Linked DNA regions of Mus musculus. The protein of the gene in region 3 interacts with the protein of the main gene of each other region in a pairwise test. Links are inferred from orthologs where the notes say so. Each region holds a gene or a part of one and is shown on either strand. Other genes may lie near its edges. The genes, in order: Tssc4, Mat2b, Kpna3 and Ercc3.

Region 1 (7,258 bases), on a different chromosome or scaffold from region 3:
TACTCAAGTAAGTATGGGTTCAGGCCATGGGAATGAGATGGGTATGGGCTCCTCCCTTCAGCCACTAGATTAGGGCAAGAGCAAAGCTGCGGGCTGTGTATTGTATTAGGTCCTGCCTTCTCCACCTGTGCTAGAGGTCGGTTACCCTCGGCAGGCCACTGTTCCTTAGTGTCCCAAGGCTCTGCCTAGCACTGGCCTTGCTAGCCTTGCCACTTTCCATGTCCTGGCCCTTGCCTCACTCCTGCCCTGCCCCAGCTGAGGCTCTCCAGCTGAGGGTCCTTTCTCCCTTTCTTGCTCCCAGGCTCTCAGAACTGTGGTTGCAGGAGTCAGCCAGCCTCTGCTAGAGACAGGGAGTACCTAGAGTCTGGCTTGCCACCCTCTGACACCTGAAATGGAGAAACCACTTGCTCTAGAGCCCCAGACCTGGCCACATCGAGTTTTTGGGGCACATCAACCTTCCCCCACTCCCAGCAGCCCCAAGAAATGGTCTTCAAGGCCTTGCTACAGATCACTTCTTGGACATCCCTTCCTAAGAGAATGAAACTCATGTCTTTGGCATCTATTCGGGAGCCTCAGAAGTATCCTCTCCAGCAGGGCAAGATTTTTCATGTCCCACTAAAGCTTTCACTGGCTTGGACTGGACAGCTGGATCTGGCCAAGTCCTACATAGGACACCATCTGCCTGGATGGGGCTATTTAGGTCTAACCCCTGTCTTACCCTGAGTTCCTAAGAAGCCAACCTCTTAAACACTAGGTTTCTTTCTGACCCCTGACCCACTCATTAGCTGACCAGCTCCTAGAGGGCAGGACTCAGATCTATTGTAATTACCTCCCATCTTTCACCCCCCACAGCATTATCTGTCTGATCATTCTGGCAGAAACCCCAAGATATTGCTCAAGGGTACCCAATGCTACTTTACTTTCTATAAAGCCTGTAGACCACCTCAAATCAGCTAAACTGGGCCACAATGGTGGCTAAACGGGACATTTCAAACACCCGGGGAATATGGAGGATTGTCTGACCTAGTGAAAGGCATCTCCGTTCCTTCCACTGCTCCTCAAATTAAATGACCATCCAGGTCCTTTTTAGAGGAACTCAGAGAATGGGGACTACAGAGGCTGGGGCAGACCTGGGTCTTAGCAGGTCTAGCTAACTTGGTCCAAGTCCCTGGCCTCCACAGGAAACATTCGCTCATGCATCCTCCCTGCATCCTTCTCTTCTTCTCTGGCTCAGCTTCAGTGGAATGACCCAGCATCAGCTGTGTCTTACACACACAAGTCCTGGAGACACAGCCAGACACCAACCATATGCTGCTTCACAACTCATCCTCTTCCTATAACCTGTGGTCTGTACAGGCCCAGTGCTGGGGCTGCATTGGTTTCTGGGGGTGGGGGTGGGGGTGGGTTGTGCAGATTATGCTCATTCACTACCATCAGGGGCACAAGGCTGAACACAGCTAAGAGCCCAGTCCCTCTGGGTAGTTTCATCAGTGACAAATGTAAATGACCATGGCAAACCTTCACGGCAGTCCTCACTGGAGTGGGGAAGGCAAGGTGAGGCTGCCAGAGATGCAGTCCTGTAGTTGGCTGCCCAGGACTGTTTGGACAGAACTCTTTGAGTGGGGCCCGGAAAAAGCCACACAATTCAAGAAATATTCCAAACGTTTATTATTCATCCTAAACACTGGGGCACAAAGGCCTTCGAGGTCCCCTGACCCACAATTCCCACAGTCTCTGCCAGAGCGGCTGCACACATCCCCCTACCACAGACAGCCCACACCTTCCCACTTGGACTAGCAGGTGAGGGGTAGAGTGATAGCACTGCAGTCAAACTGAGGGTCCTCTCTCAGACCCCGGCCCCCCAGGGTTACCGTCCCTGTTCCGGAAGTGGTCTCTGCTCCGCTTCTTGCTGCCATGGAAACCAACAGCCTTCACACCTATGGGGCCTGATGAGGACTCAGGATGGGCAGCTTCTGAAGGTACCACCACCTCTGGCTGTCCCTGGTGGCCACTCCATTCCTCAGCCTCAGGTCCAGCGAGATGGGCTAGCTCCACAGCGGCCTCACCCCCCGCACCTGACCCAACCCCCTTCTTTAGGACCCTCTTCCTCTCAGCCCTAGCCTCACTGTCCCTCACTGGTTTGGTGAAGACCACTCTTCCCTCCCCACAGCTAGAGGGGTCCTGGTTGAAAGAAGGCACATAGTCTGTGTGGGACACCTGGCTTCGAGAGCTCAGGAAGGCCAGGGCAGCATCACGATTGCTCTGCTCACTGGCTTCAGACACATCCTCCAGACTGTATTTGGTCCAACGCTCAGGGTGTGACACATAGTCAGGGACTGGGAGTACCCTAGTCGGGCCAGTGTTCCCATGCACTCTGCTCAGGCCCCTTGCTGGAGTCTGACTTGGGGGAGTCACGGGCCGCCTGAAGCTGCCATTGTCACTCACACTGGTTTGGGGAGCAGAGCACGGTGCCTGCCGGGCTGCACTCTCCAGACAATCAAAGATGCTGTGGCTGCGCTGGGAGAAGGTAGAACTCATGCCTCGGAGGTGGAATGGCTGCACTGCAGTGGTGAGGGTGCCCGTGGGGGGCGATGGAGGGTCCTCAGGGCCGGAGTCCTCCTGGCCCTCCTCCGAAAGCCTCTCTGGGGACAACACTTGGACCTCCACACCACTAGGTAAGCTAAGGTCCGAGTCCGAGTCGCTGAGGGAGACGGTGTCAGAAGGCAGGGTGTCATCCTCGGTGGGTTCATCAGCCTCCAGGCCAGCCTCTGTCTCCGCCATACGACCTGACACCCGTCCCACCTGTAGCGAAGCAGTCCCAGTTCCGCCGTGAGGGGTGTATTTAAGGCCTCATCCCTCCCCGTCCTCCCAGGCTCCCGTCTTTCACCTCCACTATGTGTCAAGTGCCTCTACTCACAGCCGGACGGGAGGCCTCGCGAAGCTGGGTGGTTAAAGGGTATCCTAGCGCGCACAGATACAGGAGCTGCAGGTTAGGTGGGGTTAAGGAGAGAGTCAACCATGAGATCATAACAGTGTGGACATACAATAGATGAGCACTGGGAGATGCTGGTGACAGGAGATCTCCATCAGCTGCTTGTCCCATCACGGGCTCTCAGTAAAGCGCAGCCTCTCTAGGTACAAGCGCCACCCGGGTCCGGACGAAGGGCTGGCAGAAACAGGCACGGGAATGCCCTGGCCGCGGCCTTAGGGAGGCCAGTGCTCACCGTTCCAGCGTCCGTACACGCCTCAATACCCTGCCGCCTTTCTCGCAGCGTCCCGCCAGTTCCCCGGGATTCGGTCCTGTCCAGTCTCGCTCGGGTTCCTGGGAAACCGAGTCTCGGGCGATCAGATTTTCGTGGCTTCAGCGCCCGAGAAACTACAACTCCCAGAAGGCAATGGGTTCCCGCCTAATGTCAGCCGGGACTTGTAACCTTAACAAGCGTGCCAACCCGGAGCGCACACGGAAACCCACCCAGAAATGACGAAAAAGGAAAAGGCGGAGCCACGGTTCCCACAATACTCCAGGGCTAACTGCCAATCGCAAAGGGTTGAGGCCTGCAGCTTCGCCTGTCGGAAGCCGTCCCGGCCGGGTCCGACACAAGGAGGAAGTGCGTCACCACGCACTGTGAGCGCCAACCAGTTTCCTAGACATTTCCGGCCCTGGGCGGAAGTGGTGTGGGTCTTGTGCTTTGTTGGCTTTCTGGAGTGAGGCGGGGCCAAGGTCCTGGTTGGCTCTTGGCATGAAGAGACGTAGTGGTCCCTGGGGTGGGTTGGTTGGGGCTTCAGAGATTCGAAGCCGCTATCCTGGGCTCTGCCTGTCTGTGCTTCCTGACGCAGGAACGGACACTTTAGTTGCAGGACGCCGCCCCTACTAGTCAAGGCCACACATAATCCTCCTCCAGGCGTGGGGCTGTTTTCTTGTATCCTTAGGGATCAGAGTCTGAGACACCATGGGGCTGCTGCATGCGCCTCTCCTTTCCTATGTTTCTGAAGCTGTGCAGCAGGCCTCCAACAGCTTTGGCCTGGTGCCCATGGACCTCATAACATAGGATATAAAGGGCTCCTCAGACCAGAAACCAACCAAGCACGGAACAGGTTGCATAGGCGTGGGAGGTAGAGGTGGCGGAGACCTAGAATGTCCTAGTACAAGCTTGGGGTTCACCGACAAATAAGCCTACTGGGAGGCTGCTAGAAGCTGGGCCATGAATCTTGGCTAGGGCGTCTCTCCTCTAGTGGCCAATTAACTATGCCAGCAGCCTGGGGGAGGGGCGCAGACAGGAGACAAAGGGAAAGAGACAGTGGTGGTTGCCCCTGGCGTCCGGGAGGTTGCTTAGCCTGATCCTCAGTTCACAGGGGTAAGTGAACTGCCATCTTGCCTTTTACTTATTGAGACACAAGCCAGAGCCACCCAGCTCCGTGGAATCTTTTCTTGAGATGGATGGGGTAATGGGCTAACCTTTACTGTCTTGTCCCTGAAAAGGAGGGTGTTCTTGCAGCTTATCTCCATCATTCTGTGCTGAATTTCCCTGCTTAGGTGGCTCCTCCTACCCGACTCAGCCTGACCTGTCATGTCCAACAGATGAGTGGAAATGAGGTCAAGGCTGGCGTAAAGTCAGCATTGAGCTCCCAGTATAAGGAGGTACAAATGAGGGAGGACCCATATGGAGTGCTCCCAGGGTCCCAGCCCTCCCCACCCACTGTGTTCCACAGCCTCTATTGGACCTGCTCACCCTGTGCCTGGCAAAGTTCAGAGCTGATGAGCCAGGTCTCTGACACCGCTAGCACAGGAAGAGGTCTGGCAGTCCCATTAGCATGCCTGATTTTTTTCCTCCTTTATTAAATGACTGTTTCAAGATTTAATTACAGTTGAAGGTGACACGTTAGAAAGAATAAGTGCATTGAAGGCATAAGAGGGCTTACAAACCCAGCTCTTGAAATGGAGGCAGGAAAGGAACAAAGATTAAAAAGATGTGAGCAATGTGACCCACAGTGGGTTGAGTGGGTGGGCATGGCCCTCTAGCTAGGCTACAAAGCCTCTGGGCAAGTAGCTGTAGAGGAGGTTTGGCTCAGCAGGCAGAACTCTCCAGGGGTCCCAGACGTACAGGGCCCTGCAAGCCAGGGCCAGCTCCACCCCTACATCCCACATATGCCACCCATGTGTGATGTCAGCTCCCAAAAGGTAACAGGAAAAGTTCAGGACAAAAAAAAAAACTAAAACAAAAACAAAACAAAACAAAACAAAAAACTCAAAAGTAAAAAGACTAAGTGTAGCAGAGTGATACAGAAATATTATATACACAGGCCATGTCCCCCAAGGTGGCCTCTGGTCACTCCAGGGATCCTCTGGTGCAATGCAAAGGGCCTCAGTACACGGAGCTGTTCCGGATGCCACAGCACAGCACCATGCTCAGAATCATCTCAAAGATCTGCAGGAGGGAGGGGCATAGTCAGCACCTAAGGCCCTGGGAAGGATCCCACCCACCCACCAGAGACCCTGTGCTTACCATAATGACAGCTACCACAATGGCTGCAATTCCAATGAGGTACAGCTTCCCAGAGAAGAGCTCATCGATTTTCTGATGACAATCTTGCTGCAGGGATGGCAAGAGCGTGGTTAACCATCAGTGGCTAAGTCACAGCCACCACCCTACTCAGTGACAGGACCTATGTATCACAGCTTATCTTCCACCCCAAAACAAATTTAAGACACACGGACCTGCTGCCTGCAGCCTTTTGTCACAGGGGAGTGTTTTTTTACCTCACTAGCACCCTAGGGTCACCAGGGTATGAGGGACCACTCAAGAGAACAGTTTTCTGGGATGTTGCAGGGGTTAACTCAAGCTGTGAGGACCCGGTACCCCAGTAATAGAGATGGTCTATGGGACTTCTGAGGTCTTGCTCAAAGTGCTGATCTTCCTGATTGGCCACACCACCCTACCGACCACCACCACCACCTCATCCCCACTCCATGCTACCTGCAGTAAGGGGGTGAGTATGTTGCCGCCTGAGGGACACAGGCTGTTCCTCAGTATGGTGGTAGTCAGTGTGGTCAGTGCGTTGGAGCCACAACAGTTGAGCTGCAGGGACCAAGAACAACACTGTCAGCTTTGGAGCTTCAGGAGACAAGGGAAAGATCAGGCACACAGCACACCGTCACCCCAAAATACACTTGGGAGTTGTCCTTCTGCCCTGTTTGTCACCCTGCACAGGAGCCCTGTTCCTTCAAACCCCTGGGAAAATGAGGCCCATTAGATTCCTACCTGAGGACCCACAAATCATAGAGGAGACCCTTTCCTAGGCCCTGTTGTGTTGGAAAGAAAGGAGACCCATGCCCTCACACACTAGGAACCCCACAGCCTCCCCTCCTGCTTGAGCCTAGCTATACCGTCTCATGGAAAGTCTTCACCACAGCCTTGGCATTGTTGGCATCATCATCCATCACAGCTTGCTGAAGGGCCTGGTCATAGAACTGCTTCACATCCTTGGCGATCTGGGGGAGAATCATAGTCACATACAGTGTCGGGGCTACGCCCAAGAGCACTCAACTTCCCGATGGGCTCAGCCTGATGCCACCTCTTCCACTGAGCTCCCAAGACCCTGCCCCCACCCAAGCAGCAGGTCCAAGAAATTCAAAAAGCACCCTATAACTATGGGCTCAGAGCAACCCACATCTGTTGGAGGGCAGAGGGCATATCTCCCACTCGGTGAACCTAGGCTTACCTGGTCTTTGTTTACGAAGCCCCAGATGCCTGCAGCCACCTCACAGGCAAACAGGATCACAAGGCAGGTGAAGAACTAGGGGAAAGAAGAGGTCAGAGCCTTGACCAGCAAGCCCAGGCCTAGCCCACATGACCAACAGCTATGTGCCAAGGGGGTTGGCCATATCCACCAACCATGTCCTGATTAAGCATGAGCCACACAGAGCCATTGAGAGACAAGAGCCTGATACAGTCCTGCACTGAGATGTTCAAGTTCTCATAGCCTCACCTTGCATCCTACTTTGCAGGATGTGGCTGGTGTAGAAATGCAGTTGACAAAGTGTCCACAGCCTTCACTGAGGCACATGCAGCAAGACACTCCCCAACCCTAACCTCAGTTTCCTCACCTCCTTTATCCTACATTCTATGACGTGTGCTGCCTTTCCCCAGCTTCTGATACTGGCAGCGCCTCCCTCCCAGGCTGGCCAGATTCTGGCAAATCTGGGATTCAGCTTCACCAGCAGCTAGTGTGGCCAGGAGCACTAAGGTTGGCTTTAGGG
Region 2 (7,820 bases), on a different chromosome or scaffold from region 3:
CAAGCGCACGTATGCACACACACTATGTCACTCATTCTCCATTTCCCCTCAGCAACAGGCACAGAAAGAATACATGTCAAAAAGTGCACTTAGGCAGCTACGGATACTCATGTAGAAGTCTTCTTGAATGGGGTCTATGCTTTCATTCTTCATGAATACATCCAACAAGTTTTCTCAAATGGTTTCATTATTTCCATACTCCCGCTGTCGTAGAGTTCCATGTTCATTTGTTTCTCCATCCATCTGTTGACAGCTGTTTGGTTTATCTAAATTTTGGGCCATTTCAAATTAAGGGGTCTGATTGTTGAAAATGTTTGCAAGTAAAGGCATTAAGAATGAATGAGCCTCTGGGTGTGGTAGCGCACGCCTTTAATCTCAGCACTCGGGAGGCAGAGGCAGGTGGATTTCTGAGTTCGAGGCCAGCCTGGTCTACAAAGTGAGTGTCAGGACAGCCAGGGCTACATAGAGAAACCCTGTCTCAAAAAACCAAAAAAACAAAAAGCAAAAAAACCCAACCAAACGAAAAAAGAATGAATGAGCCACAGTAACACAGTCACTGTTTTGACCTAAAGACACTTAAAAACCAGGTGCAAAAGACGTGAGTCTGAGCTTGCTTCATTTCTTGAAGGTAGGAGAGCAAGTGGCTGTAGAGGCACTTTCTTCCCTAGAAGCAAAGCTTATTACCATTCAAATTACTGACCTACAGTTCTTTAAATATTCTGAGTATGTTCTCTTTAGGTATATGTATTCAAATTATTTTTTCAGTCTGTATTTTATTTATTTATTTATTTTATTTTTTTATTTTTATTTTTTTTGAGACAGGGTTTTTCTGGATAGCCCTGGCTGTCCTGGAACTCACTTTGTAGACCAGGCTAGGCTGGCCTCCAACCCAGAAATCCGCCTGCCTCTGCCTCCCAAGTGCTGGGATTAAAGGCGTGCGCCACCACTCCCGGCTTGACTAATTGTTAAAATATGTACTTTATTTGTTTGTTTGTTTGTTTTTTTGGATTTTTTTTTTTTTTTTTTGGTTTTTCAAGACAGGGTTTCTCTGTATAGCCCTGGCTGTCCTGGAGCTCACTTTGTAGACCAGGCTGGCCTCGAACTCAGAAATCTGCCTGCCTCTGCCTCCCGAGTGCTGGGATTAAAGGCGTGCGCCACCACGCTGGGCCACCCCTAGAGTTTTTAAATTGGCATTTGGAATCATTAAGTTAAAAAAAAGGAATGGGGGGGGGGAGTTTTTAACTCAAGTTTCCGTTACCGTAATGTGTGAAACGTGTGGAATATTTCACAACAGGAATCAATTGCTTGTACTTCCCAACCGTTGGCTCATTCTTGTCTTTCTACAAGAGACAAAGTCAACAAGTTCTACCAGGGAATTGCAGGGGTTTGTTTGTTTGCTTGCTTGTTTGTTTTTAGTTCTGCCATATGGATTTCAGTAATGGGTCCTCCCTTGACTTGCAGTTAAGCATGAAACTTCTCATTGGGTAGTTTCAAAACTAGCAGGAGGAATCAGCTGCTAGCTTACTGCACTGTGGAAAGCTGCACGAGATTCCAGGGTTGGAATGGAAATGCTAATTTAAAAGGTCAAGCGGAGCTGCGCCTCACGTTTTTGGCGTCCGTGTGCTCCGTGCGGGCGGAGCGAACAAAGACCGGGCCAGAGGAGCCAGACGCCCAGATCCCTCTCGCTGCGTTTCCCCAAAATAGTTCTGGAATCATGCCTGAAATGCCGGAGGCCATGGAACAGGTAAGAGCTAGCAATTCAAGACTCGGTGGCGGCTCGGCGATGCGCTAAAATCGATTCCAAACCGCTGCTACGAGCAGAAAGGGTGTAAATAAAATGCTAGCCGGTACCATTTATTTCCTTAAGAAACGTAAGCTTGGTACACAGAATAAACTATCTAGGGTTTCTGACCCAGGAAATCAAGCCCAGTTTAATAAATAAGACGTGAAGCAGAACGATAATTTCATTCTCCACATTGAGTGCAACTGTAGTGAAGGCTCTGTGTAGTGCAAGATTTAACCCGTGGTGCATGCCCAGGTTTTTTGTCTTTTGTCTTTTGTCTTGTGGAGCTTGAATCTGCTAATGGGACTTTCAGTTCCAGTTTGCACTCTTTGAGACGTGACTCCCCAACCCCCATCGGAAGTCAGACATTGGCTGTAAACAGAGCCTTTTCTTATTAAATAAGCTATACCCAACTTTTGCCTGACTTGTGTCAAACCGTACTCTTATATATAGGCAAGCAAACATTTTCTCACTCTCTTCACAAGGTTGCTCTGAGAATCACACTAATTGTGGAAAATTTTGAGTCTTCCTATTGAGTACATTTTATGATCCCCTCTAGGAAGCAAACTACACACACATCAACCAGAAACTTGAAATATTCTCACTTTTAATTAGGATGAGGGATCTTGGATTTGTCCCTCCCTCGGACTTCTAATTATTATTATAATTTAGTGTTGGGATAGCTAGCCCTTTTAATAACCATAAGACCCGGATTATAAAAAAAAAATTCGAAAAGTAGGGAGCCTTAGGCTGCCTTTGTTTGCTCTTCCAAAGAGTGAGGGAATAAATTCTTTAGTGGGGGGGGGTGGGGTGGGGGGGTGGGAGAAAAACTATCACCTGACTGAGGAAAACTTTTCCCAAGGGGCAGCTTAATCCTTAGTCTAAAAATAAACCAAAAGGATTCTGAAAATGAGGCCTTTGGGGGTAATTCAGGCAGTGGTCACGTTTTGGGGCGAGTTTTGAAATCCCTTATCGTGGGTGTCTGGATGGGAATAGATTGTTGGGTAGAGAGTGGGCGGAGAAAAAGTGTGCCCGGGCTTTTTTTCAGGGTAAATTTCACTGGCTTGCCTGTTGCTGTGCTTCGGAGCTTGTAACCTGCAGGTTACAGTTGAGAGCTGAGTCAGACCCTGCGAGCTGTTGTTTCTGATTAACTTTTGAACAACCACACAGGGCTGGAAGGAGCGCCTGGCATTCCGCCCTTCCTTGGCTCCCTCATTTTAAGTCTTAGCAGCTCCTCCTTGGCTTGGCTCCAGCAGCCCCGGGCGTCGTCGTCCCCTAAGTGAAGCCTCCAAAGGGCAGCCAGGACGCCTGTTAAATCTACTTAAAAGTTGACTGGGCTTGTTAGCACAGTTGAGTTTCTCCTGTGGTTCTGCGGGGGGGGAAATACGAAGAACCTGCCTTTTAGAAAGTAACATTCTCTCCCACACCTTTTTATTTTTAATTAGCTAAAAATAAACAGTTTTCAAACTTCACAGCATTTTTTTTTTAGCATTCCAGAAAAACATAGCTTTCAGGGATGTTAATGACTCTGAGCACAGTCCTATTTTTATTCTTTCTTCTTGCCTTAAAGGACGAACCGCACCTTGCCTAGGTTGGTTGTTCACTCCTGTAACCCTTTGATGCCTTTGGACAAGGAAACTAGAGAGGATCAGAAATTGCAGGTCTTTCTCTGAGCCCAAGGCCAGCCTGAGGTTCGGACTGCCTAAAACCAACTCAGTCCAGCCTTAGCTCTGTGTTCACGGGACAACCCTTACCTTCTTGCCTCCTAACTTTACAGATGTTTTAGTCTATTTTCTATAATACATGCTTGGTTGACTCCTAGGCATTTCGCAGTCTGCAAACCTAGGCGAATCGATTCCTTACCCTTCACTAAGAAGGAATAAGTAGGAGAGATTTTAAAAAAACAAACAAAAAAGCCAACACTCTTAAACCCAAGGAAGCCTGCATCCATCGCTTGGCACCAGTGCCTGCGTTCTAACGCTCTATCTCCTTAAGAACTGGCACATGGGCTGACAGCGTCCCTTGAGGTTCCGCCCCTTTTTGAACGCGTGGCGAGAGGCGGCCAATCAACAGGCGCGGCCAGGGCGGCGGAAGCCGGAAGCGGCAGCCGGGGTCGGCCTGGGCCTAGGGGAGGAGGGCCAAGGGCGCGGGCGCTGCGGCCCCTGGCAGTGCTGCGCTAGTGGAGCTTGCGGTCGCGACTGAAGCGGCGCAAAGACTGCGGGCATGGTGGGCCGGGAGAAGGAGCTCTCCATCCACTTCGTCCCCGGCTGCTGCCAGCTGGTGGAGGTGAGCTTCGGGGCATGGAGCCGGGGTGGCGCCTTTGAGTTTGTTTACCTCTCTCCCTGTAGGGCTGCGCTCACGCCCGCTGCAGCCCGGGGAGCGCGGAGGTGGAGACTCCCGGTGCCTCCCGCCGCCTCCCGCGGGCTGGCTCCCGTTTCAGTAGTCATCATCTTTGTTTTGTGTTCCTGGATCTTTAAGGACAGGGGGAGAGTGACTTTCCATAAATGGCGGTGTCGGCGGGGTCAACTTGGTGAATTCATAGTTTGCACGGGGCGGGTTCCTTGAGGCACTTTTAAGGCTGTCAGGATTTCCGACTGTGCGGTGCTGTGAACGCTCAGGCTCCCTGGTAGGCAGACGGGCACCGCCTCGAGTTTATTCAGGAAGGTTTGAGCAGGAATTCCAGTGTTGGGCTTTTAGCTTCTACGTTTTCTGAACCGCTGTATTTTGCGTGGTGGAAGACTGCTGAAAGAAATTGCATGTCTGGTAAACTTCCCCCAGCATGTTTCCAAGTCTGGTCCACGGTCCCGTGTTTCAAGCCCGTTAAGTACTTACTGACCTACAGAATGTATCCAGCACAGTCGATGAACTAATGTGTCTTGCTGATATAAAAACGCCTAGGATGTGGCCAGTTTTTTTTTTTTTTTTAATGCAAACTTTTAATTTGGGGGAGGGTCCTGTGCTTGCTAGAGTTACTAGAGATAAGGGAGTCCCTATTGAGATGAGGGATTCTTGTTAAGAGTATACCGCCATAAGATTAGGCTATTATTAGGTGAACCTGTAGCGCCTTTTCTTAATTGGCGATTGACTTGGGAGGACGGAGCCCCTGGGCTGTTATAGTCCTGAGTTGTTTAGGAAAGCTGGCTGAGGAATTAAGCAGTTTTCACAAGGCCTGTGTGAGCTCCTGCCTCCAGGGTCTTGTCCTAACTTCCTTCAGGGGCGAACAGTGATGTGGAAATGGTAAGCTAAGTACCTCCTGCCAAACAATGCTTTGATGTTTTCACACAGCAATAGAAACCCAAACTAGAACTCAGTATGTGTTGTCCAGGCTGGCCTTGGACTCAGATGCTTCTGCCTCGAGGAGTGCTGGGATTGAAGATCTGAGCCACCACAACCAGTTGATAATGGGAAATTTTTACATTTGCGTGATGCACATTCAATATTATCTCCAAATGGCTGGGCCTTAGCCAAAGTTCGAATGTATTTGCAGTTCCAGACTGGTGACGGCATGTGACCAAAGGTGTGTGCGTATGAGCATGTATTCGTGTAGGCTTAATGCATTTCCCCAGTTCAGTAAAAGAAAAGTAGAGAGTGGTAAACTGAGTGTGCTAACTCATGTCTGTAATCTCAGTACTCAGGAAGTTTGTAGTGGTGAGGAGATGTGATTGCTTTTTAGGGTGGTTTTTTGTTTGTTTGTTTGTTTTTTCTTTCTGTTGTTGCATTTGTTTGTTTGTTTTAAACAGTCTCACTGTGTATTCATGGCTGTCCTCAAATCCCCGGAGATCTGCGTGGCTCCACCTCCAGTGGGCTGGGATTGATGATGCCACCACACCCAGCAACCTTTTTCATTAAAAAAAAAAATGGTACAGTAGCTGAGCGTGGCGGCTTATACTTCAGTCCCATCACTCTAAAAGCTGAGGCAGGAATGATTATCAGGCAAGCCAAGGTTACATAGTGAGACCCTGTTTCATAAAAGCAGATAACAGGCAGAAGGTGCAGACAGCTGGAATCTGCATGCTGGTGTTGCTCTCTCAACCTGTGCAACTGACATTCACTCTTGTTGCCAGCTGAGACTTGGCATAGTTAATGTTAGTGAGGCAGCCTGATACCAATTCCTGTTAAGAACACTGCCTGTGTGTACGTACAGGGAGTTGAGCTGTTCCCCTCTGAATTCCATTCCTATTAAGCAATCTAGATATCTTGTTTCTTAAATCCCAAGGGTGTCCAAGGATGTTAGAGAGGTAGAGAGTGAATGTGAAAACTTGAAAGTGTTGAAAGTGAATGTGAAACTTTCTGGTTGTTTTGTATTTGTTTTCCCAGACAGATCAGGGCTGGTCTTGAATTCATTGAGACCCTCCTGCATCAGATGATTTTTTTTTTCAATTATGCATGATTGCTAAGTGTATAGCCGTGTACCATGTGTCTGATACCTACTAGGGCCAATAGAAGGTGTCCATTCCAGTAGAGCTGGAGTTACAGGGAGGTGTGAGCTGCCCAGGATGGACTCTGAGGACCCAATGCCAGTCCTCTGCAAGAGCAACTTTTTTTTTTTTTTTTTTTTTTTTAGGTTTTTAAATGTTATGTGTGTGGGTGTTTGGCCTGTATGTTTGTTCACCACATGCATGCAGTACCCTTTGAGGTCCACAGAGGATGTTGGCTCCCCAAGGAACTGGAGTCACACATATTGTTGATACCTGCCGTGTAGGTGTTGGGACTCAAACCACGCTCTCCAGCCCCATCTGTTTTCCTTTATGGTGTTTTCCCAGACCTCTTCATGGTATTTGTTACATGTACAGTGTTGTGAATCTATACTAGACTTAGCATGCTTTGACCCCGTTTATTTCAGCTGTGTGTGTGGTGTGTGTGTGTGTGTGTGTGTGTGTACGTGTACAAGTATAGTTTTTGAGACAGGGTCTTGCCTAGTGGGCCGCACTGGCCTGGAATCCCCTCCGTAGAGCAGGCTATGCTCAGGCTGCTGGCACCCTCCTGTTCACTGAGGTCATCACTGCACCTGGTTTAGAGTTAAGCCTTTGGAGAGTTATTTTCTTGCCAAAGTTCGAAGAAAACATTTTGCCGGATCAAGTCTTCATTTTCATAAATTGCCTGGCTTAGAGCCAAGTGTTATAAAGGACACCACATGAAGTCTCATTAATGTTTTTTTAAAAATGTTTTGAAATTCATTGAATTAAAATCCTTAATAGATTTTTTTTTCTATGCTGCCCTCCCCCATCCCTGCCCTTTGGATTTCAGCTTTTGTTAAATGCTAGAAACAGCTGATTTGGGGGTCCTTAATTAAAGTATGTATGTTTACTAAATCATTTACCCGAAAATGTCTTTGGATATTGCCTGTATATATGTGTGTGTGCACACTTTTTTTTTCCAACTCAGAATTATGTGACTTTAACAGAAATAGGACCTTGTGATAAAATCTAATGAAAGTTTGAGCCCCAGAGCTCATGCTTTGGCTACAGGTGTGTGACTCTCTGCTGGCTGAAAACATTATTTTTAAAAAGGAAAAGTTGGCTTTACTTAAGAATTTGGCAGGAAAGTGTTACTCAATTTTTGGAACTTTGCCTTGAGTATACAAAAATCAAAATATTCTTTAAGCAGTAATTTTAAATTTTTACTGTGAACACAAATGTTTTTTCAGTTTTTTTTTCTATCTGTATCTGTTAGTCATAAGTATTTTGTGTAAGTAAATTTAGTGCTGACCGAGGGACATATTAGTTGACTTTATTCCAAATAAACTCCTATGAAATGTCGACCAATTTTCTTTTTTTTAAAGATTTATTTATTTATTTTATGTATGAGTACAATTATAGCTGACTTCAGACAAACCAGAAGAGGGTGTCAGAACCCATTACAGATGGTTGTGAGCCACCATGTGTTTGCTGGGAATTGAACTCAGGACCTTTGGAAGAGTAGTCAGTGCTCTTAGCAGCTGAGCCATTTCTCCAGCCCTGACCGATTTTCAGTCCTGTCAAAATGTGACTCATCTGAGCCTTGTGCATTTTCAGAATATCTTAGAAGATGTGAAACG
Region 3 (7,164 bases):
CTGAGACAGAGAGAGGAGAGAGAGAATGGAAAGGGTATGGAAGAGTATATAATCCAAAATTAAAGCTATGCTTTAGTTTTTTAGTTTAGGTTGTAAAAGCTGATTGCATGGAAAACCAAAGACATGATAAGGTTGGTTATGTTGTTTTCTTAAAGGTAAGTTAAATTTAAATAGGTTGAGTACATAGTTAGTAGGCTAAATACATAGTCTTAAGTGATTTTAGGATATATTAACTTTGCTGTGAGGACTGGAAAATCTTAGTGTCTTTGGCATCAAGAGATATTTTCATTAAAATGTATTTAATATTTTAAAACCTGCTATATAGTTTCCATATCAGGGAAAAGATAAATTTTATTCCAGCTATTTAAAAGATTAATTCCATCTTATATCTACCACTAGGACTCTTTTGTTTTTTGTTTCCAGTTCTGTTCCTCCCACTCCTGTCTGTTTGTTCCCATCTTTGACATAGATTTATTTGTGTAGATTTGTCTGCAAAACAAAAAATAGGTCAAAATATAAACAACTTAATAATTTTAAAACCATCACCCAAGGTGTGGTATGAATAGAAAATTGCCAGTACTTTAGGTAACAGCTTCGTGATTTCTCTTGGAAAGCTATGTTAACTGTGTAACAGATCACGTTAGACTTAGAGCTGTATAGACCCTGGTCTAATCTAGACTTGGTATTGACCAGAACACAACTGTTGTTTGAGCCTCAGACATTCATCTGTAAAAATTAGGTGGTTGTGAGGAAATGTACATTGTTTGTACAAAATATTCTGTGTTTATTTGCTTCTTCAGCTGTTTTTATATCTTACTTGTTCTTTTTTCACATGACTTTTGAAAGACTTACCTTGGTCCTGCAATTTTATTTTTCGTATCTTCCCATTTTCCTGTCCATGGCCCCCATTTCCAGTATTCTGTAAACACTCCTTAACTGCTTATTTACACTTCCGACTTCCAGTTTGTGGTGGTACATATCATCTGTCACTTCCTATCTCACCATCCTTTTAATGTCCCTAGCCACCAGTCTGCCTTTCATATCTTCCATTCCCTGCCTTCTGTCAGAATTGATGGTGACAGCTCTTGTCTATTCCATTTTCTGTTTACTCTTTCTGATGTGGAATGTGCACTTCCCATCTACACTGCTGCTATAGCTGATCATTTGTTTCCCTTACTTTCTTCAATGTTTATATAGACAGATTTTTCTTATTCCCTGGTTTTCAGCTCACTTTAGTTTTTTTGCTGGCTGTCTGCCTCCCTCCTCCATTGCTCTTTCTGTTATTATATTCTTCCATCTCTCTGTGTTATTTCTCTTTAATAGGTCTCTCCTATACCAGTCTGTAACAACCCTTTTATCCATTTTACATGCCACTGACTCTTGACTGCAAACCCTACCTTCCCACCCCACTACTGGGTCCTCATACAGGATGGGCAGGTAGTCCACACTGGACTCTATCTCCTGCCATTGCTTTTGCTTTTGCGATGTGGGCCTACTCATTGACCTGGGTGGACCACTCTGAATTTGCTCTGTTGTTCAGGCCATCCTTTGCTTTCTTTGTATCAAAGAATTTTACCCCCTTTTTTTTCCATTATTTTTCCTTTTTTCTGTTTGTCTATTTTTCTCTTTTGTTCTACCCCACCTCCCACCCCCTCTTTTCTGGAGACAGGGTTCTTACTGTATATCCCTGGCTGACCTAGAATTCACTATTGTAGACTAAGCTAGCCTCCACCTCATAAAGATCCACCTGCCAAATGCTGGGGTTAAAAGTATGTTATTACACCTGGCTTTACTCCCCTTCTCAATAGAATAAATTCTAAGGTCTGCAGCTTAGAGTTTGAGATAGACTGTGCATCTGCCCTCCAGCACTTACGTGCACAGTTTCATTCTGTCCACCCTTAACTTTCTTATTCTGTGTCTTACTGTACATACATCATTCCACCTCTGATAGATTTAATGTAGATTGCCAGGGCCTGCCTTTTAAAATCCAATTTAGGAAAGCAAATTAAATTTGCTTTTTACTTTTTTGTGTTAGATCTTCCATGACTGACTCAAATTATAATGCTTTATCTGAGGAATTATGCAGGCCTGTAATATATAGCCCAGATGGTGTAGTGAACTCTGGTGGGTCCCAGTTTTAAGACTAGTCTGGAGTCTGTAGCTGGGATTAAAGTGAGATTGTAAGGGCTTTGGCGATACAGTTATAGTGGGTTACGGTGGAAGTGGAAGGAATATTCAGAACATAAGCCATCATTTGTTCAGTAGAGGTCTATGGGCAATGACAAGTCCAGAGGTGTGTTTGTCTTATTGCTGCACCTCTCAGTGGATGTAAAGAAGGCAGTTGTAGTGACTGGCTTTGAGGAGCAGTCAGATGGGGTAGATGCGTGCAGCTGGTGGTGGGTATAGATAGCAAAGTGAAATCCAAGGACCAAGAAAGGAAGTACAGTGGTGGTTTCATGTCTGAAAAGATTTTCTTTTTTCTTCTTTTTTCTTTCTTTAACAGTCCTTCATTACAGTTTGAAGCTGCTTGGGCACTAACTAATATAGCATCGGGAACTTCTGCACAGACTCAAGCTGTTGTACAGTCTAGTAAGTCAAGTCTTTTTCTTAAAAATGATTGAAATAGCTTTTATACCAAAAACTGAATTTTACCTTAGAATATTTTGAAGTGAGTATAAATTTTTGTGTTACTTTAATGATTTTTTAAAATCTTTTCCATATTATTAAACTGTTACAAAATAATTGTAATTTTGGAACAAAAAAGAGAATAGACTTTTTATGTTTCTGGGTAGAGACTATATCCTAGTAATAGGACTTGAAATACCTTGTTTTTAACACTTTTTAAGTATGCTGAGTAGGCTAGGCCTTTCATGTTACAACATATAGTTGTTTTGCAGTAGGGCTTGGTGGTGGGGGTGGGGTGGGGTGGGGGAAGGTCTTGCTGTGTAACCAGATCTGGTCTTAGAGCTAGCTTTCTGTGTAGTTGCAACCTGACCATAAACTCAGGGTATTCCTGCTTCAGCATCCTGAGTGCTGGCCATACAGGTGTGATTTACACCTGCCTCAGTCCTTACTTTTAAGCCTTGGCTGATCTGAAACTTGTTATATAAACCAGTCTGGCCTTAAACGCACAGAGATCAGCCTGCCTCTGCCTTCTAAGTGCTGGGATTAAAGGTGTGTGCCCCGCATCTTGCTTATTTCAAGTAAGTTATTATAATTTTGTGGCTGAAGTTATTACAGCTCTTAAAAACTTTTCCAACTTGGTGTTGTAGTAATGAACATTTTTTTTGTTTTGTTTTGTTTTGTTTTGTTTTGTTTTGTTTTGTTTTTCGAGACAGGGTTTCTCTGTGTAGCCCTTGCTGTCTTGGAACTCACTCTGTAGACCAGGCTGGCCTCGAACTCAGAAATCCACCTGCCTCTGCCTCCCAAGTGCTGGGATTAAAGGGGTGCGCCACCACGCCCGGTGTGAGCATGTTTTTAATAGAAATTAGGAGGTAAAGTTAACTATATATATATCACTTTATTTTCATTGTTTCCATTTTAAACTGAATTTATCAGTGATGAAAATAATGCCTTGAAAATTAGTTTTTTAAAAAGTTTTGCTGGAGTGGACCCTGTGTCTCCAGTTCTGCTCCTAGATGAAGTGGGAGAGAAAGCGTGTGTAAGATGTTCATAGAGCATTCAGTCAGTTTCTCAGAAGTTCACTATTAATGGGTCAGTAAATGTATGGAACTGAATTATTATTTAACAATCTAGAAGAATAAAGCAATAATACCTGTGAAATAGATGAACTTGAAAGTTACGAAAGTGAAGGAAGACAGATATTTAAAAAAAAAAAATCACATGCAGTAGGATTTCATTTCGCTGAAATGTCCAGACTAGACAAGTCCATGCATAGGAAAGGCAAGCTTTTTAATGATAGCCTGGGTTTGGGGAACTGAATAACAGAAGAGTAAATGGATGCTGATTACTAGAGATAGGGGAGCTCTTTGCAGTTGATGACCATGGAAAGCTGGAGTGTTAACAGTGACTGTCGAGACTTACAGTGATACATTCTGGTAAAGTATGAATTACTTGTAATAAAAAGACGAAGTTAAGTATCTAGTATACAGGTAAAGCTAAATAATCAAGAGCTAACACAGAGTAGAAGCTTAAGAAAAAGTGAACTTATGCTGAAGGGGGGTATAAGGTATAACAGTGTAACAAAGTTAGAGGCTAGAGAGATGGCTCCACAGTTAAGGCTGCTTTTCCGGGAGACACCAGTTCCATTCCCAGTATACACATGTAGCTCGAGGCCATCTCTAACTGTAGTTTTAGGAAACTAGACACCCTCTTCTGGCCTCCACAGGCACTTGTGGTGCACAGACATACACATGTAGGCAAAACACCCATACATATAAAAAAATAAAGATAGAATACTAAATACAATTGCTTTGAATTGTTTGGTAATCTGATTTAATTGGTTCTGGTTAACCCTGTCTTAGGCATTAGAATTACATTGAAAGTAAGTATTATTCTTTAAGAATACATGTTTGGGATAAGAACTTCTTAAAAATCAATTATAGGGAAGATTTTATGTTTTTTTTTTCTTATGTTAATGGCATAGTAGCATGCTTAGGTTCTGTTTGATGCTATATTGCTCAAGTATTACCAAGTTAAAAGTACTGATACTACTTATTTTTTACATATCCATGCCAAATTTGTGCAGGGAACTGTAATTGGGCAATTGTAGTGTGTATCTGACTCTTGAGTATTTTATTAGTTTACTTGAGTTGGAATTTGTAGATACATTAGATAACCTAGTCTTCCTTACATACACACAGATGCAGTACCACTTTTTCTGCGACTCCTCCATTCCCCACATCAGAATGTTTGTGAACAAGCGGTGTGGGCTTTGGGAAACATTATAGGTAAGTTGAATTTAGGTTTGAAAGGCTTTAGTTGACAATCTTAACTTTTTTCCCACATTGGCATAGCCATTACACACTATGTTTCCTCTGCATTTTATATGAGTTGACTGTGTTCATAAACTTCTAAGATAGCACTTAAGTGTAAAAGGCACAAAAGGATATATCATTTGTGTCAATAGTGGTTAAATTTGTGTTCCCCAAATCAAAATCATGGGTGGCAACGCTTGATGTTTGCCTGGTGAGGAAACATAGGGCATCAGTGTCCCAACATGAGCCATTGCACACATTTCAGACTTTCTCATCCTGACTGTGATTTTTTTTTAAATACAATTTTCATTTCTGTAGGTGATGGTCCTCAATGTAGAGATTATGTCATATCACTGGGAGTTGTCAAACCTCTTCTGTCCTTCATCAATCCCTCCATTCCCATCACCTTCCTTCGGAACGTCACATGGGTCATTGTCAATCTCTGCAGGAATAAAGACCCCCCACCGCCTATGGAGACAGTTCAGGAGGTAAATGCAGAATTGTAAGGCGAGATGGTTTGTTTCCCTGTTTATGCTTTAGGTATTCTTTTTGGGGGGATACGGGGTGGGGTGGGTTCGAGACAAGGTTTCTCTGTGTAGCCCTGGCTGTCCTGAAACTCAATCTGTAGACCAGGCTGGCCTCGAACTCAGAAATCCGCCTGCCTCTGCCTCCCAAGTACTGGGACTAAAGGCGTGCACCACCACTGCCCAGCTGCTTTAAGTATTCTTGTACAGGGAATATAATGAACATATTCTGATTTTGTTTATGAAGGTACTTCTGTTTTGAAGTATAACACACCATATGTCAAAGTTGAGTGTTGTTCAGTAATAAAAGGAATGTCTGTCCATTCTAATGCTTATTTTTAATGATGTTTCATGAAGAGAAAAAATTCCATAAAAGGGAAGAAGCCAGTTTTGTGATACTGCCTTATAGATTTCTTTTGCTAAGAAATATGCAAATAATTTGAGTGACTGCATTCAGCCCATTGATTTCTGACAAAATTGGTGTTCTTGGAAATGTGGTATATGTTAAATTTTTAAAAATCCTGTAAACCCTTTCTTTATTTGTATCTAGAGTGAGTAAATCTGTGTCCTGATCCAGTGTTTGCACCTTTTGTTACCATACTGATCATATGAGTCCCTAGGAGGCATTTCTCATTTGCTGTATATTTGTGGAAGGTCTGTTAGGTCTGAGGGTCAACAAGCCTGTTACCTTGTACTGGTTGTAATTTTCTTGACTAAAGCTATTTCACTCAAGCAGCTTATTGAATACAAATTTAGATGATGATAACTCTGAATAGTAATTTCTCTGAACTATCCAAAATGTGTGCTTGTCGCTGGCATCTCCATTCTCCTTACCCGACATTATGTCATAAAGGATGTTTCTGGAAGTAATTTAATTTCTCTTAAGGAGTATTAGTCCCTGTCAGATTTATTTAGCTCTTTTAATTAGACATTTGAAATATGCTTTTTGGTTTTTCAGATTGAGTTTATTAATTTTTATGCTTCTTAAAAGTATTCAGACATGTTCACATTGTGGGTTTTTTGTTTTGTTTTGTTTTGTTTTGTTTTGTTTTGTTTTTCGAGACAGGGTTTCTCTGTGTAGTCCTGGCTGTCCTGGAACTCACTTTGTAGACCAGGCTGGCCTCGAACTCAGAAATCCGCCTGCCTCTGCCTCCCGAGTGCTGGGATTAAAGGCGTGCGCCACCACCTTGTGTTTTAAGTAATTCTTTCTGTGTCATAGTTTGTGTTTACAATGACATGTCATCAACTCTAGTGTTCATCTTCTTTCCTCAGATTTTGCCAGCTTTGTGTGTGCTCATCTACCATACGGACATAAATGTGAGTAAAGTGGTGTCAGTGTGGGAGTTGACTCTTGATGCGATCGCACGGGTTTTTTAAAATGAGTGCTAGGGTATATTTTCTCTTTGTCTGAGTGTGTGTGTGTGTGTGTGTGTGTGTGTGCTCGCGCGCGTGCAGGGAGGCGGGATTGGAGAATAAGAGTAAATTTAAATCAGATTGATGTAATTTCTGGTTAATCTTTTTGTCAGTAGAGATGCTGATTTCTTGATCCTTGGATTGATTAAAGACAGCAGTTTCTCTGTGATCTTACTTTCTCAAATTTCTATTGAAGTAATTTTTTGAGGGTTTTCTCTGCCCCACTTTTGCCTATTCTGCTCCCAAGAAGATGATAGATCTGGGCAGATTCTGAGCTATACCAGTCCTTG
Region 4 (7,845 bases), on a different chromosome or scaffold from region 3:
ACCTGCTACACACAGTAAGTTCAAATACCACAAATGTTTAGACCTTCACACCAATGTTCTCCATTTCCACAACCTAAAGAATGCCATCTTTTCTTCATTGTATTGGCAAGTGAACTCAAGACCATGAAGCTATATCCCGAACCACCACCACCTCTATTTTTAAGTTTTGAGACAAGTTAGAAATTAACCTTACAATCCTCCTCCCTAGACATCTGGCACTAAGGGGCGCGTGCCACCTTGCCAGCACAGTGTAAGCCTCTGAGGGACAGGGAATAGAGTTTAAGTCCCCAATCTGCTGGAAGGGAGCAGGTCGTTTGTGTGTTCGCCATAACTTGCTACTGAGATTGTGAGCTGCCCCTCAGAGCACAACAGCACTGCCCCAGCACGACTACCGTCCTTTAGACCATGTAGACCAAAGGCCTAGCCCTGGTGCTTTCTTCGTCAGCATCCTTCTGCATCACAGAACAGAGAACTCTGTCGTGCTCCCAGGCTTCTGCTCATGGCACACTCTTCTGCTTCCAGACTGAAATCTAATTTGAAGTCCTTTCAGATTAGCCAATACTAACAAAAACTGTTCTCCTATCTTCTGTGAATAATATACACCTATATTCAACTGCTGTTCCCATGAAACCCTCTTCAGGTCAACATTTCAAGTTTTGTCTTACCCTAATACACTTAATTTACCATGGATCTTAAGTATTTACCTTACATGGAGCTCACTTCCTGTAACAGCTAACCACCAAAAAAACTCCACAACAAAAGCTTATGTTCTCAGAGTTCTAACTACTCAGGATCAATGGACCAGGACCAGCTAATTCAGGCTGTGGTAAGGTCTCCTGGCTAGAAGAGAGTCACCTTCTCTCTACACAGTCCCATAAAGAAGGGACTTATGACAACTGTATAATTCCTAATAAAGACAAGCACCTTCTGAATGGGGAGACATTTATGACCTCATTTAGTCTTACTAACACACAGGTATTTGGGGTTAGGATTCTGATATGTACATGCAGGCTATAGTTCCATCTATCCAGAGCTGGATTCTCAAGTAACCCTGGCCATAGTGGACCTGAACTTCTACTCCCATGGCTTGGAGCAGCCCACAAAACACATGATCTCAGCCAGAACCATGGCTGGATCTAAAGTGGCAGCAGCTAGGCACGAAGCTATTTTGCTATCAAAGGAAACACAAATCAGACATTTCAATGACAACATATAGTAAGTACGCACCTGAGCACAAGAGTTGCTAGTAACTCACCTTAATAAACTGGATAATTCCATCAGGAACTCCAGTCTTACTGAGCTTTCTGAGGTACTCAGTAATGTCACTGGTTTGCAGCCCAACACTGACCGCTGCATAGAGGGAGTAGGCGGTTAGCTTGTATTCATGTACATGAGTAGGCCGGCACACCGGCTCTGCAATTGCCACCAGGAAGTCTTGGGCATATTTGTAAACTGGAGAGAAGGCTTCCAAGAAAATGTGGCCATCAGGAGCCTAAAAGGCATCAAGGGAACACAACAGGCAAGAATATCAATGAGCTGCAGAGACTATGTCACAGGATTTCTGATCACACTGCGAACCTGAGACTGTGTTATTTACTAAAAAAAAAAAAAGGAAAGGAAAGGAAAGGAAAGGAAAGGAAAGGAAAGGAAAGAAAAGAAAAGAAAAGAAAAGAAAAGAAAAGAAAAGAAAAGAAAAGAAAAAACCTTCTCCTAGTTGTATGGCTCAGCCTTCAGCACACACCTTTAATCCCTCTGGCCAGAATACAGGCATGCCTTTAGTTCACACCTTTAATCCCAAACAATAGAGGTAAAGTTAGTTTGCAGAAGGAAGTACCCATGTTTGAAAGTGATGTTTAACTGAGTGGCAGAAAAAGTGACAAATCAGAGAGACTTGATAGGAAAGGATACGCCCAACTCTCAAAGGTGAGAGAGGAAAGGGAAGCTACTTAAGGGAGAGACAGGCAGTACAGGAGGAGAGAGTCCAGTACAGCATACAGCGGAGTTCATGGAGAGCAGTACAGTAGAGTTGAGAGTGGAGCAGCACAAAGAGGGAGAAGGAGGCAGTTTTACTGGGACAGTTATAGAGAGAGTGCAAGCTAGATACAGTGAGAACAGAACAAGTCAGAGAATGAGAAGGAGCCAGAAGATTAGAAGAGATTCCTAAAGTTAATATGAAGCCAAGCAGTGCAATTCAGGAAAAGCCAAGAGAGAAGCCAGATTGAAGCAGTCAGCTTGAAGAGGAGTCTGAGCCAGAGCAGCTGAGTTAAACTGGCCAGTCAGAGCTCACAAAGAACTAGAAAGGGCGAGCTTATTCAGCTTCAAGTCTCAGAGGAGGGAAAACATTCCAGGCCTAGGTTAGATTACACAGAGACTAGAAGCTTCCAGGACTAGGCCTAGGTTAGCAGACAGGCGCAGTAAGCCTCCAGACAACAATTATGTCAGGTGAATAAGGTGACTCTTACACCACTAGACTGTCACATCACTATCAAGAAGGGTGAGTGTCCAATGGGAAGGATATTCTTGCAATCAATCCTTCAGGAAACTGCAGGGACCCTGCTCCTATAATTAGAGAAGAGTAGGCAGAAAAGGTTCCCAATGTTCCATATATGGAAATCTTCCAACATACTATTCTCAAAAGGCCTTTTGGCTAGAATGCAAATTGAGTACAGATCATGATGTATTTTAAGCCAAGGAAACTTAGCTACCAAAACATTATCTACCATCAATTTGAAAAGAACCTAAGAGATGGATCAGTGGTTAAGAGCACTGGCTGCTCCTGCAGAACACACAGGTTCCATTTCCAGCACCCACATCAGACAGCTCATAACAGCCTGTCATTCCAGGCTTGGGGGATCTTACGCCCTCTTCGGGCCTCCTCTGGAAACAAGTATACACACACACATACATATAAAATGTTAAAAATCTTTTTTAAGAAGTGTAAATCAATTGTCATCTAAAACAACTATTTAGTGGCTGGGGAGCTACCTTGGTGTATAAAGTGCTCGCTCGCATGAGGACCTCAGTTGCGATCTCCAGCACTTAAGTATAAAACCAGGAATGCATGCCTACAACCACAGAGCTGTGATGGCTGGAGATAGGTGGGTGGGCGGGCAGGCAGATTAAGTTGGGGTGGGAGGTGGGGGGCATCGCTGGCCAGTAAGTTTAGCCAAAACAGGGAGCTGGGCAGATATGTGAAGAGTGACTGGGAAAAGCATCTCACATCAGTCTCTGGGCTCTGTAAACAATCCCTGCACGTCTCTCTGCACAGGGTATGCACATATACCACCCAAACAGATAAATGTCATTTACTGACTGTATGTGGGGTATGTGCGTGTATGTGAGTGCATGCATGTCACCGCTCTAAAGTGACTTGCCAGAGTCGGGCCTCTCCTCCTCCTATGACAGCAAGAGCCTTTACCTCCTGAGTTATCTGGCTTGTCATCATATGGGGGGCTGGGGTGAAGTGGAGAACACCAGATCACACCAGCTACTCCAGTGTGCCCCATGACAGCCGTCTCTCCCGGCTGCTTCAGAAAGAGCAGCATTTCTCACGTTTGAATTTTGGAGGTGTAAGAATGTCCAAGATTTAGCTGCCGCGCAGGCTTTTTGGCCATGCTTACCACCCAGAGGGGCCTGGAGGTATGGTCACCCTTTAGTGGCATCTGCTGTCTGTAGTCCTTTGCTCCATACTCATCCACTTTGGTGCTGGACTCGTCCACCTGTTTCCCAGCGGCGGAGGGCACCGCCTCCTGAGACTCGTTCCCAGGAATGTCGTCTTCGTCTTCCTCTTCCTCTTCATACTGCCTCTTCTTGGATTTCTTTTTGTCTGCGACCGAAGACACAGAAGTGAGCCCAGCAGGATTCTAGGGTTCCTTTTTCACCACCCAAGGAGACTTCTGGCAAGAACTCCTAAACCAGCGCCACCCGCATACCGGCGTCCGGCAAACGCCTCCCACCCGGCTAAGTTCCGCATCTCCCGGACACAACAGGCCAGAGAAAACCCCACGACAATGACAGTTACAAGTAGTGCTTACCGCGGTCCACTCGATCTCTTTTGCCCATAACAGCTCTAGATGCAGGCAGGCCGGCACACCGCACCACCTCCTCTCCGCAGGAGTTACTTGCTAATGAACTTCCGGTACATACCGGAAATACAGCACCAGACGGTCGGAAGTCCCGCCTCTGAAGTCTTAAACCGGAAGAGCGGAACCACAGGGCCGACCGGAGGCGAGCTGCGCTTGCCTGGAGTGTTTACTTTCCGCTCTACGATTTGTTTTGAGCCTTACGTACTTCTAGGAGCCTTGAGCTTATTTGCCCTATAGATCGGGCGGGACGGAGATCTGCTTCCACCTACGGAGTGCTTTGTTTTGGTTTTTGAGGCCACTGCTTAGATCGCTAAGGAAGGTCGGACCTGGGTGGTTCCCTCAGGCTCCCGGGAGCTGGGATTACAGGCGTGTTCCACCACGCCGGGTTTCTGGAAACGAAATTCCGAACGAGAGAGGTGGGAAATACACATCGTTCTGACGTAAATAAAAATGGGCAGGTGGCTCATTTGGTAGAATTTTTGCCTATGTCGGAACCAAAGAATAATCTTGGTGTCTCACCAAGGATAGCATGAAGAGTACCTCAGCAAGGCAATTCTTTTTGGAAGAGAGTGTAGCAGAACCCAAAGGGACTAACACTACATCAGAACAGGCAGTTGATGTAGTTTTTAATTTGTTAGTGACTTTTCCCCATTGGCTAGGGTCAAACCTCACAGCCTTCCAGATCTTTGGTTTGTTGTGGGTGTTTTGTTTGTTTGTGTTTTCTTTTCTGAGACAGGGTTTCTCTGTATAGTCCCGGCTGTTCTGTATCTCGTTCTGTAGATCAGGCTGACCTCGAACTTGAGATCTGCCTGCCTCTGCCTCTCGAGGGCTGGGGTAAAAGGCGTGCACCACCACGCCCCTCCCTGCTGTTGTCCAATTTTAAAAGAAGGCAAAGGAAAGAGAGTCCACTGCTTTGAGCCTTCAAATTCTGGACAGCTGGCTGCGGGGGTGTGTGTGTACATGTGCAAAACAATTTTTCCCCTCATATCTAGCAGGTTCTAGCCACAGAACTACATAAACCAAGTGTGGTAGATCATGTCTAATTGCATCACCTGAAATCAAGAAATAATGTTACACGTTTTCAAAAAAAAAAAACCAAAACCAAAAACAGTAGTAGAGTGATCTTGGAATAGGTCTAAGTAAAAGAAATGAAGATAGTTTCATTCTGTGTTTATTTTAATGAGAAATGGATAGGATTTGCCAACTGGGATAATACGGGATTTGGGGAGGAAGAAAGAGTTAACACCCAAGATTTTTGGTTTCAGCAACTCATAAAATGATGTACCTTAGGCAGAGTTCATATTTGGAGCAAATCAGATGTAACTGGCAGTTACAAAGCCTGCTTGCTGTTCTATAATAAAATGTCCCAGGTGGCATGATTTAAACAGCAAAACTTAGATAAGAAATTAGAAGGGTAAGAGAAAGGGACCAGAAAAGAGGCAGAAGGGAAGACAATAACAAGTATGCCATATGTATGAAAATGTTATGACGACACCCTTTCCGCTAACAAAAAAAAGCAGATGAGCAATATGAAATTGGATTTTTTTTAAGAGCTGGGAAGATAACTTAGTGGGTTAATGTACTTGCTGCACAAACATGAAGACTTAATTTTGGGTCCCTAGAGCCCACACAAGCCAAGCAGGCATGGCATTACACAGCTGTGATCCCAGCACTGAGGGGCAGAGAAGAATCCTTGAGGCTCACTGACCAGCCAGTCTAAGCCATGAGCTTTAGACTTAAGAAATCCTGTTGCAAAACTAGTAAGGAGAAGTGGAGCTGGGGATATGGCTCAGTGAGAAAGAACTAAGAGTTTAAAGCCAGGGCTGGGCTGGGCTGGGGCCAGAGCGATAGCTCAGTACCTAAGAGCACCCGTTGCTCTTCAAGAAGTGGCTGCTTGGCTTCCCAGCTCCCACAAACAAATTCAGTTCTATGGGATCCAACGATTTCTTCTGACCTTTACAGGCATCAGTCACACATGGGGGACATGCATTCAGCAAAGCACTCAACTCACATAAGTAAGTCTTGACAAGAATTAAAAAACAAAAACCGCAAGGTCCCTGGAGCAAGCCAAATCACTGGGCTCTGGATTCAAGTGAGAAATCCTGCCTCAATATAGTTGGAGAACAAATGAAAAAGGCACGTGGACACACACCAAAATAAATGAGGAAAACGATAAGACAACCGACATCACCCTCTTATATCAGTGGGTGTACATATGCATGAAGCAAGCAAGCATGGAGGAGTGAAAGTCAGCTGTCTGGATTTGTGAACTCACTTTCCTTTGTTTATATTGCTACTGAGTCTGTATTGAAAAGGGATCTAGTGTCTATGAGTGGCCCCTTCTTTGTACCTCCACTTTGCACTTGAGGAACCTCTTCTGGCAACACCCAGCTTTGGGTTGTATGGGCTAGGCAGGTTCTCACACTCTGGAGACTTCCCAGATCATACCTCCTAGCCTAGATGGTTTAGCTGGGGGCAGGTGTTACCTTACGTTCATTGGGAGTATGGAAGAGTACATCACTGAGGTCAATCCAGATGGAGAACCTGTCTCCATACTTTCAAAGCCTCTATAGTAGTATTAATCATGCTGCTGGAGGTTTGCACACGTAGCTATCAAATTCATCCCGGAAACTTCAGAGGTCTTGGCCTCTAGCACACAGAACCATAGGTAGCTTTCAGAATTTGATTCTACAAACTGGCTTCAGGGTCAGTTATCAAAACAGGATTACGGTCAGTTGAGATCTGTTCTCAATCACCAAGGACAAGGCTGTCTCTCCCTATGCACTTCCCCATCCTGGTCAGCCTCCTGCTACGTGCACTCTTCAGTTTATCAGTATCCAGCCACAGTGCTCACAACTGCCTCTCTGAACCCTCCCTTATGGAGGGACTGTGCTAAGCATATGGCCCCTATGGAACCTGGAGCTTTAACAATGGATTCCCTCTCAAAATAGTATCCAGTCACATACATGTGACAAATGGGAATTCTCTCCTCTGCTGGCCCATCTGCCAGAGGAATCACTGTCTTGCCAGACCCCACAATTAGGTTTGCGGCTCATGAGGGCTAGGGCTGCCCTAAGAATAGGACTGCCCGGTTTTCGGCTAGCTTGTCTTTTGAAGTGGTATCTGAATCCCCTTCCCCCATCAGGCTACTGTATATCTAAGACTGTCTCCAGGTTGTTTCTATCAGGTTGTGCCTGCTTTGGCTCTTTACAAAGCATTCCATTTCTCTCCTTGAAAGAAAATAATTTTCTAATTCCGAATCTCTTTCACTGGATGTCTTGGACTGTTTTTGTTGTTTTAATCTCTTAGTGCGCATGCGCAGTCAGAGGACATGTTCAGGATGGGTTCTCTTCCTCCATCACAGGTTCTGAGGACTGCATTCAGGTTCCCATGCTTGTTGGGCAAGCAGTTTACCCAATCGGGTGCTGGTTTTTAATCACTACAACATTCAATCTGAGCCATCATCATGTCTACACAGAGATCCATAAAACAGGCTTTGTGGGCATTACAGGCTTAGACAACAAAGATTGCTAGGGAACTGTGCTAGGTGTTCCAAAGAGCAAACAAGAGGGGACTTCTGTAAACACACTATGTCAAAGACCATATCCATACACACAAATCACAGTGGGAATAAATACCAGCTTTATTAACACTCCAATTACCATTCATTTATGTCCATTCCACAGTTCAGAGGGTTACTGAGAGTAACCCTCTGCACCACAGTCTGTCGGAAGATGACTAGGAACGAAGTATGTCTCAC

The links.
Region 1: the proteins of Kpna3 (region 3) and Tssc4 interact in binary tests that used the Homo sapiens proteins (3 or more experiments, as listed by UniProt). The two-hybrid records come from large-scale screens. The link is inferred for Mus musculus from reciprocal best matches to the Homo sapiens genes KPNA3 and TSSC4.
Region 2: the proteins of Kpna3 (region 3) and Mat2b interact in binary tests that used the Homo sapiens proteins (3 or more experiments, as listed by UniProt). The two-hybrid records come from large-scale screens. The link is inferred for Mus musculus from reciprocal best matches to the Homo sapiens genes KPNA3 and MAT2B.
Region 4: the proteins of Kpna3 (region 3) and Ercc3 interact in binary tests that used the Homo sapiens proteins (3 or more experiments, as listed by UniProt). The link is inferred for Mus musculus from reciprocal best matches to the Homo sapiens genes KPNA3 and ERCC3.

What each region holds. Positions count from the first base shown.
Region 1 is NC_000073.6:143,065,480-143,072,737, reverse strand, and holds Tssc4 (protein TSSC4), read right to left. Parts: upstream 3,371-7,258; 5' UTR 3,225-3,370; exon of another isoform or gene 3,104-3,224; coding exon of another isoform or gene 2,918-3,103; 5' UTR 2,888-2,917; intron 2,803-2,887; coding exon of another isoform or gene 2,782-2,802; coding exon 1,828-2,781; 3' UTR 1,651-1,827; downstream 1-1,650. Other genes in the region: Trpm5 (transient receptor potential cation channel subfamily M member 5), read left to right, coding at 1-7, 302-390; CD81 antigen, read right to left, coding at 5,364-5,426, 5,505-5,591, 5,976-6,077, 6,386-6,490, 6,721-6,795. UniProt on the Homo sapiens protein: Protein associated with the U5 snRNP, during its maturation and its post-splicing recycling and which is required for spliceosomal tri-snRNP complex assembly in the nucleus.
Region 2 is NC_000077.6:40,688,727-40,696,546, reverse strand, and holds the start of Mat2b (methionine adenosyltransferase 2 subunit beta), read left to right. Parts: upstream 1-3,864; 5' UTR 3,865-4,006; coding exon 4,007-4,069; intron 4,070-7,820.
Region 3 is NC_000080.6:61,382,849-61,390,012, reverse strand, and holds part of Kpna3 (importin subunit alpha-4), read left to right. Parts: intron 1-2,503; coding exon 2,504-2,589; intron 2,590-4,823; coding exon 4,824-4,910; intron 4,911-5,255; coding exon 5,256-5,425; intron 5,426-6,733; coding exon 6,734-6,778; intron 6,779-7,164. UniProt on the Homo sapiens protein: Functions in nuclear protein import as an adapter protein for nuclear receptor KPNB1. Binds specifically and directly to substrates containing either a simple or bipartite NLS motif.
Region 4 is NC_000084.6:32,236,611-32,244,455, reverse strand, and holds the start of Ercc3 (general transcription and DNA repair factor IIH helicase subunit XPB), read right to left. Parts: upstream 4,130-7,845; 5' UTR 4,063-4,129; coding exon 4,035-4,062; intron 3,827-4,034; coding exon 3,621-3,826; intron 1,493-3,620; coding exon 1,256-1,492; intron 1-1,255. UniProt on the Homo sapiens protein: ATP-dependent 3'-5' DNA helicase/translocase. Binds dsDNA rather than ssDNA, unzipping it in a translocase rather than classical helicase activity. Component of the general transcription and DNA repair factor IIH (TFIIH) core complex.